Linked DNA regions of Rhinolophus ferrumequinum. The protein of the gene in region 1 interacts with the protein of each later gene in a biochemical or structural test. Links are inferred from orthologs where the notes say so. Each region holds a gene or a part of one and is shown in the gene's direction. Other genes may lie near its edges.

What was found. The genes of interacting proteins can lie anywhere in the genome.
Region 2: the proteins of GRIP1 (region 1) and CARM1 form a complex in vitro, tested with the Homo sapiens proteins (2 studies listed by BioGRID). The link is inferred for Rhinolophus ferrumequinum from reciprocal best matches to the Homo sapiens genes GRIP1 and CARM1.

What each region holds. Positions count from the first base shown.
Region 1 is NC_046293.1:63,342,285-63,350,256, reverse strand, and holds the start of GRIP1 (glutamate receptor-interacting protein 1), read left to right. Parts: upstream 1-4,960; 5' UTR 4,961-5,170; coding exon 5,171-5,303; intron 5,304-7,972. UniProt on the Homo sapiens protein: May play a role as a localized scaffold for the assembly of a multiprotein signaling complex and as mediator of the trafficking of its binding partners at specific subcellular location in neurons.
Region 2 is NC_046301.1:39,541,482-39,548,519, reverse strand, and holds the start of CARM1 (histone-arginine methyltransferase CARM1), read left to right. Parts: upstream 1-4,033; 5' UTR 4,034-4,046; coding exon 4,047-4,269; intron 4,270-7,038. Other genes in the region: C18H19orf38 (protein HIDE1), read left to right, coding at 1,919-2,068. UniProt on the Homo sapiens protein: Methylates (mono- and asymmetric dimethylation) the guanidino nitrogens of arginyl residues in several proteins involved in DNA packaging, transcription regulation, pre-mRNA splicing, and mRNA stability.

The sequences.
Region 1 (7,972 bases):
ATTATCTGATGTATCGCAGTTTATTTACCCATTCACCTACTGAAGGACATCTTGGTTGCTTCCAAGTTTTGGCAATTATGAGTAAAGCTGTTAGAAACATCCGAGTGCAGATTTTTGTGTGGACGTAAGTTTTCAAAATCTTTCCGTAAATACCAAGGAGCTTAGTTAATGAATTGTATGGTAACAATATGTTTAGTTTTGTAAGAAACCAACTGTCATCCAAAGTTGCTGTACTATGTTGCATCCCAACAGCAATGAAGGAAAATTCCTGTTGCTCTCCATCCTTGCCAGCATTTGATGTGGTCAGCGTTGAAGATTTTGGCCGTTCTAATAGGTGTGTATCATTGTTGTTTTCATTTGCATTTCCCTGATGACATATGATGTGGAGCATCTTTTCACATGCTTATTTGCCATTTGTCTATCTCTTTTAGTGAAGTGTCTGTTAAAGTGTCTTCAGCCCATTTTTTTAATCAGGTGGGTTTGTTTTCTTATTGTTGAGTTTTAAGCATTCTTTTAGTATTTCTATATTTTGTTCTTTGTATATTTTGGGCAACAGGCGTTTATCAGATGTGACTTTTGCAAATCTTTTCTCCTCGTCTGTGACTTCTTTTCATTCTTTTGACTTGAGATATTTTTCACAGTTTTAATATAAATGAAGATACTAATTTTTACTGCATTGTCCGCCTGTGACTCTACCTTTTTATTTTGTCTCTATTGTATGGAAAGGCTCCTGATCATCTCTGAAATTTGAAATTGCTTCTTAGAAGTAGGTGCAAGGATCTAACTATATCATCTGGTATGGTTGTAGCCACAGATTTACCAATTTAATACATATTATTGAAATACACTTAAATATGTATTTTATTAAGGAATTTTATGTTTAACTTATATGTACCTGGGTCACATGATCCATGAATTTCAGTTAGGCTAGTAAAGGGGGGTATTACAAATCCTTTGCCACAGTCAAGTGGTGTTGGGTCTGACCGGATGAAGAATGCTCTAATTGTCCGTCAGGATCCAGTGTTTTCCCTTCATACTCTGCCACCCTCAGTATGTCAGTGTCGCTGCTCTTGGTATCACAAGCAAACACTGTGGCATCTAAATAAGGTCCGATTGATCCAATATCTCAAAGAGTTTTCTAGTAAACTGTGTTCCATTCTGCTACTCAGAAACTACGGTAACTATTACTTAATCTAAATATGCACATACGAGTCCTACTGACTCAGTGATCTAGGGAAGGTTGTAAATTGGAGATTTAAGCTCAGTAGTTGGTCTATTTCTCTTTTCCTAAAAGGGGATGGAGAATCGAATTCAGAAGCGTATGGAATCCATGTAAGTGCTATTCAGGAAATTGCTTACTTCCTAGAAAAAAAAAAAGAATTCGCTTTTCTTTTCATTTTTTTTAGTATTTGCTATTCTTTATTGAAACACATTTTGTTGAATAATTCAACTTGCTTTATTTTGTCATATGAACAATTTTTTTCTAAGAAATTTAATTTTATAGTTTAGTGAACATTGAGCACAACTAAAACTGATTTGTCATAATAATTTGTTTTCTTTACATGAAAATATAAGGGAACTGAAATTTCTCTTAAAGAAATTAGTGTTTTGGAACTGGCTCATCAGGACAGTACCTCAACCATGGTTTACAAGCATAAATGCCTTCAGGGGGCAGGTGGTAATTGAATGAGAGAATGGGACCCAGGGGAGGGGGCTGTGGCTAAGTGGAAAGTGCATGTTTATTTATGGGTGGCAGCCACCACTCAGCTCTGATCAGTAGTTGCCATATTGGAATTGGGCCCAGAGTTGCCAGATCTTTTGATTTTTTTTTTTTTAAGAAAAAATCAAATGTCTGATCTGTGAAATTCCTGACTTTTAATATTGGTGCAGCTTAAAAGGAAGAAACAAATAAACAAAACAACACTTATGTGAGCCAAACCAAACACAATTGTGGGAGATACTTGTTCTGTGAACTGCCACTTACAACCTCTCAACTAGCCCATCTGTTCAGACTGAAGAGTGCAATAACTGGTGAATAGCACCACTTACCACTGTTTGTGCTGTGAGGAAACAGGGCGGTTCTCTACAGAAATGGTTGTAAACGTAACTGAATGGACTTGAACTTCACTCTATTCATTTGTCAATTAGTATTGGGATATTAGCTAACTGTTGTATAACCACAAGTCATTTTAGATTTTAGATTGGTGCTCCATTGCTCAAACATTAAGGATTTAGGATAGAAGACAGGAAAAAGTCAGAGGTGTGAACTCAGGAAGTTTGATTAAAGGATCCAACACACCTGCACCAAGCCTCAGGCAGAGAAGCAAGTGTCTTGCCTTCTATCTTTTGGATTGTGACACATACACACATGCTTCCTCTCCCTTGCATGGGACATGGCCACATTCTTTCATTCTTTGTGACCCAAGCAGACTTCCTCTAAACATCAAATTCCTTATTCCCTCTTCCTAACCATCTGTGATTGTTTTAACATGGCTGTTACCTCCCCTCCTGTACCTCTCCAAGTGCATGGCTGAACTTTAAACTCTTCCCTAGCACTACCAAACGTCCTCTTATATAAAAATGTTGTTATTATAATCAGATAGTGAAATGTTAACCTCCCAAATAAAATTCTTCAAAACTAGGAAAATAATAGAAAGGTGCTTTAAGCATAATCTCTGTTTACTTTTGAAAACAGTTTTGTATGTGGACAGTTTTACTTTGCATTAGTTCTTATTCAAAATAGTTGCTTATCACTAGTTGAGAAATTCTCAGGGTCTTTGAATACTGAAATTACAAATCAGTAAACTGTGGTGGAATGTTTTAAGTTGGTCTATACACAAATGATCTTCTCTCTAATCAAGCATCATCTGTTCTATCGTGTCATTCCATTTAGATCAAATTCGGAGCTTAAAACTATAAAATTTAAATAATGTAGACTCCACTAATTTAGGAGCTGTAGTAATTCAGAGGTAATTTGAGTGAAATTTGTTGCCTGCATAATCTCTGAGGACATATTACTCACATAAACCAGGATATATGCTTAGCCCAGTTAAAAACTATTATTTTTAAACTCCATTTCAATTGCAAACTCACATAGACAACAATGAATCACTGAATGCAAATAATTCTTAGGCAAGATAATCTCTGAATTTGTATGAAAAAATACCTGTAGTAGGTCATACTTGGCAATGTTACCTTTGTGATCTTGGACAAACCACTAAAACATCTTTAAACCTTCTTTTCTCATGTATAGAGGTAGCACCTCATTATAAAGGTTGTTAGGAGAATTAAATGAAAAGGCTACGTATTATTATTTTTTTTAGTGACCTATTCAAGGACTAGACTCCAGATCTTCAACTAGAACTTCCAGATGTTCTAGTTTATTTTGGTTGAAGGAGTCAGAATAATAAAGAAAAGATTTGGAACCTAAGGACAAGTGAATTTTGTTTAAAGATGTTTTTAAGACATTTTATAGTATTTTTTTGTCAATATCATTAAGTTTGTGTTTCTCTTCACAAACTCACTGGCAAGGCATAAAAAGGGGGGACTATAGAAATAGGGCGAATTCACTGAATCTAACTTTACACATTTCAGAGCTGAAATGTTCTTAGTTGATAAATATTTATCTCTTAAGTAAATGTCTCCCTACTCCAGCATTAGTAATTAATACCTGCAAATAGAGAAATGCCTAAATCTACAAAAGAGACAAATTGCCTGTGAATCTAACAGACAGTGCTAAGTGCAATCACTTCTTTTTGGGATGGTCCTATAAACTTGACATTACATAGATATTGAACGACTCATACAGTAAGCAGCTTTTAAAATAAAGTACATTTCTGGGACCATAGAGTTGCAGCATATTATTAATTTAGTAGGTAATATGCTGACATATTTGATTAATTATAGTGTAAACAAATTCCATTTTTCCTGATGTTAAAAAAAATGTATCTATTTAAAGACCTGAAGAAAGAAGCTAGAGAGGAAAAGATTATCCACGATTAACGCTGACCTGTCTGGATTTTGGAGTACCTCTTTGGTCTAGTCTGAAGTATTTCTGATTGTAGTACTTTTAAAAAAAAAAAAAAAAAAAGAAGTTCTGATTTTAGAGACAAAGGATGAAGAGGGTGTGAGGATTTTTAGAAACGTCTCTCCCTCCCTCCATCTTCACCAAGAACTAAGTTTTATTTGCTCTTTAGCCTGTTTGTTTTCCTATTTTTTTTAAAAAAAATGTAACAACTCAGCTAGATTTTTATTTGAGTTCGCTGTAAGCAGAATTGGATTATTTGTATTTCTGTTCCCAAACACCACGCAGTTTCCTTTATTTGCTGATTGTGGTATGCTGTTACTCAGCCTATGGGGAAGCCACTCTGTGAAGCGCATTTTAATATTTAGATCAAAAAGTGGTTGGAATACATTAATGCCCAGTGGGTAAATGTGTCATTTGAAAGCAGCTGCTGAGCCTTCTCCCTGCTGCTCCAATTAACACATACCGCACACTTTTGTCAGTAAGAGGCAGTGCGTATGGATGAAACCACTTTGCGCTCATTAGTACGATATGCGCCACAGAGCACAAAGGGTTAATCCGTCCGCCCATTGCAAAACAACAGCTTTCCAAGAAGCTCCCCCAAGCACTGCACTTTGCTTCCACGGGTGCTAGAGGAGGGGGTGGGATTAGCAGGTACGAAAAAGTCCGTTGGGTCTCTAGCTTTGGTTCAGTCCATTTACTAGTACATTTCCCCGCCCCTCTCTTCTGCACCCGCGCCCCTGACGATGGAGATGTTGGATAGTGAAATTCTAGTGCTGGGACTTCTCCCCCCTCAGCTGAATCTCTTGTTGAACTTTGTTCTGTTTTGTTTGGAAGCTGTTTGAAGCCCAAAGCTTCGCTGTTTATTTTTTCTCTTAGTCTTTCTTTTCATTTTACTCTCTCTCTCTCTCTTTTCTTTTTAAATTGCACATTTGGACAGTGTACTGCACAAAATAAGAAATCTGGTCAAGACAAACCCATATCGCTCTTATTTTTACCCCCTCCCATGGCTAAAATCTCCGCGCTGATGGTAGCACAGGCAGATGGAAGGGTAGCGCTTCCCAGCCCCAGGTTCGGTGTTGGCCATTCATGCTCCACCAGTTCCCCCAGCAGCTGAGCTGAGCCAGGCTGCACCGGCAGGGAGAGATGGACCGCTTCCTGGGTTTCGTCAAGCAAATAAGAAGATCTAGGAGAAGAAAGGGGAAAAAGTACCGACCAGAAGAGGATTACCACGAGGGCTATGAGGATGTCTATTATTACGCTTCGGAGCATTTTCGAAGTAAGCGCTCCCCTCCACCCTCCGGTTCCTTCTCTCTTGCTGGGGCTAACAATAAACCTTGTGTGGAGCTTTAATCTTAAATGCAAAAGGTTTCCAGATGGTATTGTTGGTAAGCAGTCTGTAAGTACTGAATGCTGCATTTTGATGATTTGTTGCAAGAATAGCCATCAGATAGCATCTAGACAATATAACTAGGAGGTCTATACACATGATGAGTATTTCAGGTGCGATTAATTGATTATGTTACCATTTTTTAATGAGCCATTCACACATTTATCTTGCAAGCCAATGTAGTATGTGGCTAAATGTAGTAGGTGGTTCTGTCGGAGTTGTTTTCAAGTAACTGCTTTTTTGTTCTTTCAGAATAGGGAAGGCTAGCTTATTTGGAAGAAATACTTGTTCATGTTAAAGTTGATACTGATGATTAATGCTCCTGATACAGATTTCCAGACAGTTATCTGTGATTACTCTTAGGTGTTGTTTGTACAAGGAAGTTGAAATGCTTTCCTCTGATGCATGTTTATAATTTTGTTATTAAATTAAGGGAACTCTTTATTTGCTGTCAGTTAGAGCAGTGATACCTGTCGAATAAAATAGTATATCCATCTGAAGACATTTGTCAATTAGCTTCTAAATAGCAGAGAACTAGAATTTTCCTTGTTCTTATCAGTCCTTTAAGTTTCAGTGAGGTTTACACTTGTCATAGATTTAAAATGCCCAGAAATGCCTCAGGGTGCGGAGAGAAAGCAGTGACCACAGAGATCACTGAGTTTACGAGGTGCCCTAAAATCGGGGAACTGACAGTTATGTCTGATCTACATTTACAAAATTAAAAATTATTTTTAATCTTCTTGAATAAGGATCTTTATAAACTTGTATTTCAATTCTAATTCTCCATGGTGTTTTGATGTCTAATTGTAATATATCCCATTTACAGCTTCTGAGCGTTGACTAATAAATAATTTAGAATTCATTTCTGTGGTATTGAAATACATGAGTATTAGGTCTAAATGCCAGAAATGCTGCTGTGATGGATGAAAATTGAGAGTTGAAAAGTCATGTGGTGGCAACAACACAACAATTCAAAATTATAATTCTTTGCTTCAATAATATGGCTATGTGGCTTTTACAGAGTAATCTGAGTTTTAGAGATGTTTCTTTTCTGCAATGAGTTTGACGCAAATAATCTGCTCTAATGTAGTGACAGTCTGTGTTTCGTAAATTTAGTTTTCATAATATATTCAAGAATTTAAGATCTTGATCTTGTCACATCAAAAAATACTGTCAGCTTGCAAGCATAATTCTGAAAACCTGGAGATAAAAAAAAGAAACTTGGGAACTTTTAATTATGTTGATGCTCATTGTACAAATTTCTTACAACATATATATATACATATATATGTGTGTATATATATATGTATATATATATACACACATATATATAATGAGTCAAATTCATATCTTCTTGCGTTTCCACTGTGATGTGTTTGTACAAATAGAATTTTTAAAACTCTCTCTCAAATGCTTGCACCCTACTAGTTTTGGTAAAAATTTAAAAACAACAGAGATACTTCATAAGGGTACAAAATGTGCCTACAAGAAAAAATGTTTATGGAGATACGTAAAGAAACATCCCCAAACTAGAGTTTGGAGAATGATACAGCTAAGGCAGGAGTCTTTATACATCAAATGCAGTAACGTAAAGAGAGTCATCATGTCTTAATTTATCTGATTTGTCAAAGTCATGCTAAAGATAAGATGCTAACATCAAATGTTATTTCCTTTAGATGCAAAACTGACATGTTCTTGCCTGTGATTTATCAGAAAGCACCCATATGTAATATATAACTCTATGGAGTTAGATACATGTTGAGTTGCCAACTTCAAAAGGCTATATAGTAAACAGAGTATGTCACAATGGATGCAGGTACTTGGAATTTGGCATTTTATCAAGTGTTAAATAGCCAGGGCTTTTAAAGAAGACATGTCATGTAACATAATGACCTCTCAGTGCATCTATTCATTTCAGTTTCAGGGACTCGCTGAATTGGACAGGGGAGATATCCACTTATATTTTATGGCCGTAGAAAAGTATTAAAGGGTGAGACTGATCCTTAAAACCAATCCTCTCAAATGGGTACTATGGTTTAATCCAATTACATTTATGGTGGTGTATCTATTTTAATTAGTCTTTGGCATAATTTGAACGTTTATGCTCTATATTTCCCAGATGCCTTAGAAAAACTATTTACATTAAGGTTTAAGACTCGGTGGAATTTACTGATGACATTCACGTCTTAGTTAATGGTGCTATTGATAAACCAGAAGTGTCATTGCTCTTATTTTTCTCCCTACATTGTTTGTTTCTTGAAAGAAACTTAACTCTCTGTCTTGTCAGTTTATCCAGTGGTTCAGATTACCACAAGCACTTTATACATGTAACAATGAAAGACTGAGCTAGAAAGACCTCAGAAAATTCACCAGTAAGTATGCCCTTCGTTTAGTACCTTCTCAAGTGCTTACTGAAATTTAATTTGATCTCTAAATAATGTCTCCTCTGTGGTGGGTTCTGATTTAGAAGTTCACCTTCCTTTTCTTCATCTTAAATACAACATGCTTAATAATCTCCGGAAATGCCAAAGCCTGAATTAAAATGTCATTGGGTCTGA
Region 2 (7,038 bases), on another chromosome or scaffold:
AGCTAGCAGGCAGGGCAAGTTCTAAAATTTTCCGTGAGAAGCCACGAGGCTTAAGGCACTAGCCTGGTGATTTTTCCTTTTTTACAAATATATTTAAAATGAAACAATGAAAAACAGAAAAACAACTTATTTCTCAGTGTTTTTGTTCTGATATATATAATATATAAATATATATATATTTTTAATATTTTTATATAATATGTATATATATAAATAATATGTTTATATTTATTTATTGAGGAACAGTGTGTTTTTCCCGGACCCATCAGCTCCAAGTCAAGTAGTTGTTTCAATCTAGTCGTGGAGGGTGCAGTTCACTGGCCCATGTGGGAATCGAACTGGCGACCTTGGTGTTATGAGCACTGTGCTCTAACCAACTGAGGCAACTGACTGCCCATATTTTTTTTTAATTAAAATTTTTTTGGGAAATACATCCACATGTCAAAGTTATATATACAGTAGTATTTTCTTCTATCACTTAACCCTTCTCCACCCACTGGTCTCTCTCTCTACCCACACAGAGTAACTAACCATTGTTAGGAGCTTCTTGGAAAATGCAAGCAAAGGTGAAAATAACAAATGTGTATGCTCACCCTTTTCAACACAAATGGGAGCATGCTAGACACACTGCACGGTGCTTCTTTTCCTTAGTTGTAAATTCTAGTGATCTTTTCTAGTTTCTTTTTTAGAATTGTGGAAAATATACATAACAAAATGTATCGTTGTAATCATTTTTAAGTGTGCAGTTCTGTGGCATTAAACACATTCACGTTGTGCAACCGTCATCACCATCCATCTCCAGGCTGCATCTTGGAAAAACTGAAACTCTGTCACCACTATACATTAACTTCTCAATCTGACCTCCCCTCAGCCCCTAGCAACCACCACCCTACTTTCTGTCTCTGGGGATTTGCCTTTTTTGGACATTTTATAGAGAAATAATGCCATACAATGTTTATCCTTTTGTGTCTGGCTTATTTCATTTAGCATAACATCTTCAAGGTTCATTCGTGTTTTAACTCGAGTCAGAATTTCCTTCCTTTTTAAGGCTGAATAGTGTTCCATTGTATGTATACACCACATTTTGTTTATCCAGTCACCCACTGATGGACACTTGGGTTGCTTCCACCTTTTGGCTATTGTGAATAATGCTGCTATGAAAAGGGGTCTGCAAGTATGTGTTCCAGTCCTTGCTTTCAGTTCTAGTTTCTTTTACAAGTGTTAGAAAGCTGTGCTGTTGGCTGAAATGAAAATGAAGCAGCTGTTAGGACTCCAGGTTATCCTGTGCTACTGCACTGATATTGACTTTGTCACACCCTATGGGGTGTGGCTGACTTTTTTTTTTTAACAAGGTGACTGAAGCTGTCTATGGGCTGTACTGTGGTCACCTAGCTAGGGAGCAGCAGGACTGGGAGTGGCTTCAGTTTCAGCAAACTTCTTTTTGACTAGCATTTGGGACAAGGAGCCTTCAAGGTGGAGGAAGCCCAGAACGGGAGGGGCTGGAGGTAACAGTAATAACTGGGTTCACTTAACAAACGTTTAGTGCTTATGATAGGCCAGGTGCTTTATCTATTTGATTCCTTTATGCTTTATAGCAACCCCAGGAGGGGGTGTTAGCGTTCTCTCCATTGTGCAAAAGGTGAAACTGGGCACAGAGGAGTTAGATCACTCAACTGTGGTCAGACCATTAGGAAGTGCTGGACCTGGGATTTGAACCCAGGCTGCCTGGTCCCCTATTCAGCAGAGAGGAAGGCAGGAGGACAGAAGGCAGATAAACGCCCTGAAGCTGTGGGGTATGTGTATGTGCATGAGATGAGACCTGATGGACTAGGGAGTCTCAGGCTCAGAACATGGGGAAACTCTAGACCCTGAAACCCCAAATCACCCGGTTCTCTCTACTTTTCTTCCATGGACAAAGAAAATTACTTCAGAAGGAGATGCAGCCACCCTGGATGATCTCTCAGGCTCCACTGCGACTCCTGGCAACTTTGGGCCCCGGAAGAGGCCCACTTCCACATCATCTTCGCCTGAGCCCCCTGAATTCAGCACCTTCCGGGCTTGCCAGTGAGGCTGAGGATTGGGTCCCTCTCTCTCTGCGTGCTCTGCCCTCCATTCCGCGTTCTCTCATTTGAACTGGCTGGGCTGCGTGGGGCCCAAGGTCCCTTCAACTCCTTTGAGGGGTTCTGGCTGCTGCTTTCTCAGGGAACTGAACAGTGACAAAGGGACCCCTGGCCTTGGGACCTTCCTCACAGAGGAGCAGGAATGGGAGAGGGGCTGCAGGCATTAGCCCAGAGGCTGGACAGCACGCAGGAAGCTTCTCTTTGGATTCCCAGCTTCTCAGATCTCCAAGGAAGGAAATGTTAGGATCCCTTCTGGCCCCCAGCTGGGCCACAAGAGGTCTGAGCTCTCCACACAGCCCTATGGTTTCCTCTTCCCTTGCCACACCTGACTTGGCCAACCCAACTGGGTTTTTAGAACATAGGGTACCTGAGGGTGTGTTCTGTGTGTCTGCCCTGCTGGCATGCCTAAGTTATTAATTATAGCACGTGTTGAGCTGTTCCCAAGGCCTCTACGGAGTAGAATCCTTCAAGCTGGTGGGTGGGGGGAGTACCCCTCAACTGCATGCAGGCAGTGTGGTGTGTGGGGAGGCCCATGGGGTACAAGGAGGGGACAGTGCCCCACAGAGTCTCTGCTGAAGTCCTAGCACTGGTGGATACAGGAGGTGGAATGATGGGGTGTGGAGGCAGAGGGACATGGGAAAAAAGAGTAGTAGTAAATGAGGAGGTATGGGAAGGGTGGAAGCTGAGGAGATGGAAAGTGTCCGCAAGCCTCTTTGGCTCCCCCAAAAGGGAATGGGGCCCTGGAGCAATGGAGGGGGGTACTTGGAGGGAAGATGGATGTGTGTATACGTGTGTGTATGAAAAGGGTCACTTGGCCATGTTCTGGTGGACCAACTAGCCAGCCATCATTGGGGGAGGGGAGAGTTAACTAGGGGAGGCAAGGGGCCAAGTGAAGGGCTCAGAGGGAGGGGGTCCAAGAATGTTTTGTGGGGGAGGAGACAGTGAAGGCAGTGAAGGGCCAAGGATGGGAGAAAGGAGCGCTGTGGGACGGGAATGGAGATGATGGGGAAGAGAGAAGGAGTGCCGCAGGAGGGAGCATTCCCAAGGGGTTCAGGTCCGGGGTAGAGACCAAGTCCCACCTGGAACTGCTTTTCCAGCAGGGTGGGCTAGGGGTGGGGGAGGCCACAAGTTGGGGGCGTGGCCCAGGCCCTGGCCCCGCCCCTCACTCTGGTTCTCCCCAGGCGCCGATGCTTTACAAAGCAAAGCAAGGCCCAGTGGGAGGGAGCAGGGCCGGTACAGGGGCGGGGCCCCATCGCAGCTGGACTCCGCACTTCAACTAGCCGCCTCACAAAGCCGTGCAGGACCACGGGGCGGAGCCCAGTTTCAGGGGCGTGTCGGAGTTGTTGGGCTTCAGGCTCGCCCCCGCTGTTCCAGGGGCAGGGGAGCCGCCTCACAAAGCGCTGCGGTTTGCGCGAGGCGGGACCCGGAGCGTGTCACACCGCCGAGTACCGCTCCCTGGCGCGCTCCCGCTCCGCCCCTCCTGGGCCTCCGCACCCGCACCGCCCTACTAGGGCGGCCGTTCCAGCCGCGCCGCACTAGGGGCGGGTCTCAGGTCTAGGGGCGTGTCCGTGCGTCCGAGCACCGCCCTCTGACGCACGATCCCGCCCCCGCCGTTCCTGGGACGCGGAGCCACCTCACAAAGCGGCGACCGTTCGCGCGGGGCGGGGCGGGGCGGGGCTGGGCTGGCCCCGTCCCCCGGCGTGCTCCCTCCCTGCGCCCAGGGCCGCCGGCAGAGGGCGCTGCGCCACGGGCCCGGGCCGTCGGCGCTATCAGCGAGGCGGCGCGTAGTCGGCAGGCGGCGCTGCGGGGCTCGGCCTCTGCCTCGGCCTGCGCGGCGGCGGCAGCGGCGGCGGCGGCGGCAGCGGCGGCGGCCTGGGCCCGGGCGCGGCGGCGGTGGCGGCGGCGGGGCCTGGAGCCGGGTCTAAGATGGCAGCGGCGGCGGCGGCGGCGGCGGGGCCGGGCACGGGAGTCGTGGGGGTGACGGGCACGGGCGTCGCGGGGCCCTGCGCGGCCGTGTCCGTGTTCCCCGGCGCCCGCCTCCTCACCATCGGCGACGCGAACGGCGAGATCCAGCGGCACGCGGAGCAGCAGGCGCTGCGCCTCGAGGTGCGCGCCGGCCCGGACGCGGCGGGCATCGCCCTCTACAGCCGTGAGTGCGGGGTCCCGGAGCCTGGCCGTGGGCCGTGCGCCGCGCGGGGGCTGCGCACGAGGCCGGGCGGGGGGCCCGGGGTGGGAGGGACGCAGTGGGTGAGGGGCCGGCGTCCGGAGGGTAAAGGGGCCCCAAGCCGTGGGGGCCTGGTGTGGGGTGCGTGGGGCTGTGCCCAGGGAGCCGGGTGTGGGGGGCCCTGAGTGAGGGGTGTGGAGGAACGTGTCAAGGGGCATAGGGAGAAAAGAGGGCGTGCGTGGTGGCTAGAGGTGAGGTGCCCTGAGTGCTGAGGGAAGCGGGAAATCGGGGAGTGAGGGCCCTGAGATTGGGAGGGGGTGGACAGGAAGTGGGGGGCCGAGAATGGAAGGTGAATTCGGAGGAAGCCGGGGTTGTGAGGGCTGGATGGGAAGGAGGGGGCCCTGGGAGAGGTAGGAGTCTCGCGGGCGGGTGTGGCCACCCTGGCGGGCTGGAGGGAGCCGTGTGGGCAGCCTCTGGCCATCTTAGGGGACCCCCCTGGACTGCTAAGGACAGTTGGAAAGTGGTGCCCAGTCTGGGACGACATAGAGGACAGGTTTCACCCTTTAAGAGGGCTTGGTGTGCGCACAGCCTGAGTGGGAAACTTCTAGATAAGGGGAGAGGGGCCCACGCGAGGGTGGTGCGAGCCCCTGGATGTGCTCCTGGTAAAAACGTGGACCAGTGGGGCTCCTTCATGTTGCCGGGCTTCGAAGAGGTAGCAGTTTCCTCCCGCGCCACCAGTCCTCTGATCTTCCTTTTAGGGGATATGCGAAGCTGGGTATGTTTTCAGAAGCTAGTTTCAAAACTGACATTTCAGTGGGAAAAAAAAATACAAATGTGTTTGCCAAGGACCCCGAGTTCATCCTTTTTCTTCCTCTTGTTACACTTTCTTATCCCTTCTCTCCCATTCCTGATTCCTCCTTCACTTTTTGCTATTCTGTTTCATTCAGCCTTGTTTCTCAGAGTTTCTTGCACTGATGTGCTGGGAAGTCACTCGGGTCCCTTAATTTGCATTGGTCTGTGTGATTTTTGTTTTACACTTCGGGAATGGGGTGTGAGAGAAGTTTGTGGAGCAGTTGGTTCACACAGGGTTCTCCCCGTGCCTTGACTTGAAAAACCCAAACTAGAGGAGCTAGGTCTGTTTCCCCAATGCCGCACCTGTCTTTGCTGGGGCAGAGCTGGGTCTTTTGGACCAGACGAGGAGAGGGAAGAAGGGTGTCCCAGGTGGGCATCAGAGCTCAGGACAGACACTTAAGCTCCAGCTTAAACTTTTCTTTTACTTTAAAACAGTTCAAAGTTTATAGGATTACTGAGAAGATAGCACAGAGTTCCATATATCTACTCCATACCCAGTTTCCCGTATTCACATCTTTGTCCAGGAGAGCTTTTATTTTTCTGCTTTTGTTGATAATCTTGAATTGTTACATGCTATGAAGATAACACTTCTCTTTTCGAGGTAATTCGTAACTGATACATTGTTTGTAAAACAAGAAAAAGTCTGTTTCTCAAACTGAGATCCTTAGTCTGGGATGATAGAGTCCCAGGAGTCTGAAAGATTTTCTTCCCTTTTATGCTCACATAACATTGGTGTGGGGTTGAGAACAGGGTTCTGGAGTCAGCTGAACCTGCTTGTATTAGTTTCCCAGGGCTGACATAACACACTTGGTGACTTAAAACAACAGGAATGTATTCTCTCATAGTTCCTGGCCAAAAGTTCAAAATCAAGGTGTTGGCAGGGCCACGCTCTGTCCAGAGTCTCTGGAGGGGACCCTTTCTTGCCTCTTCCAGCTTCTGTGGCTCCAGGTGTTGCTTGGCTTATAGCAACAGAACTCCAATCTCTGCCTCTGTCTTCATACAGCCTCTCCTCTCTCTTTGTGTCTTTATCTATAAGGACACTTGTCTTTGGATTAAGGATCCACCCTAGACCCAGGATGATTTTATCTCGAGATCCTTAATGACATCTGCAAAGACCCTTTAACAAATAGGTCACCTTCATAGGTTCTGGAGCATAGGGCTTGGGTATATTTTTTATTGGTCTACTATGTGGGCTAGACTGGTGCCCTTCCAGTGGCCGTGTGTCTTTGTGCCTCAGTTTCCTTATCGATAGAATGGGGGTGTGGCACAGTGTGTTTCCTCAATAAATGAACACTTCTTTGGAGGTAGCACCTGCTCCCATAATGGGCTGGCGATGGCCTCAAAGTTGGCTGGGTTATTGCTGAGGGTGAGGCAGCACTGGTTCCTGAGCAGGCCTGGAGAGGGTGGGTGCACAGAACACATTGCTCTGAAGGGTGTCGGGGAGTGCAAAGTCCCAGGGCTGGGCTGTAGGCTGCATGCTGCTCCTGGATGTGAGAGCCTGCCTGCAGGGTGTGGAGTGCTGGCCAACAGTCCCCTGGAGAAGGTCAGACATGGTCAGCCACTGGACGTGTGGGGACGGGACAGCTGGGGAGGACTTGTGGGTGAACCGGCTGCTGGGAGCGTTAGGCCTTCTTGTGGGATGAACTTATTCCTTCCCTGGTCTCAATTTTCCCACCTGGACCCTTCTGGGACCTGAATGCTTTGGCCAGGTGAGAAGGCGTCAGGAGCCCAGTTCTGCTCGCTTGTCTCTCATGAGGTGGGGTCCTGCTAGCTGCTTGTGCTTCCAGGACACCCCCTGGGATTCGAATCTGTGTTTGGGTGAGGAGGGGGATTGGCCAGGACACCTGCGTGAATCTCCCAGTGGCTCACATATGAGAGGCTCACAGAGGCAACCTCGAGTGT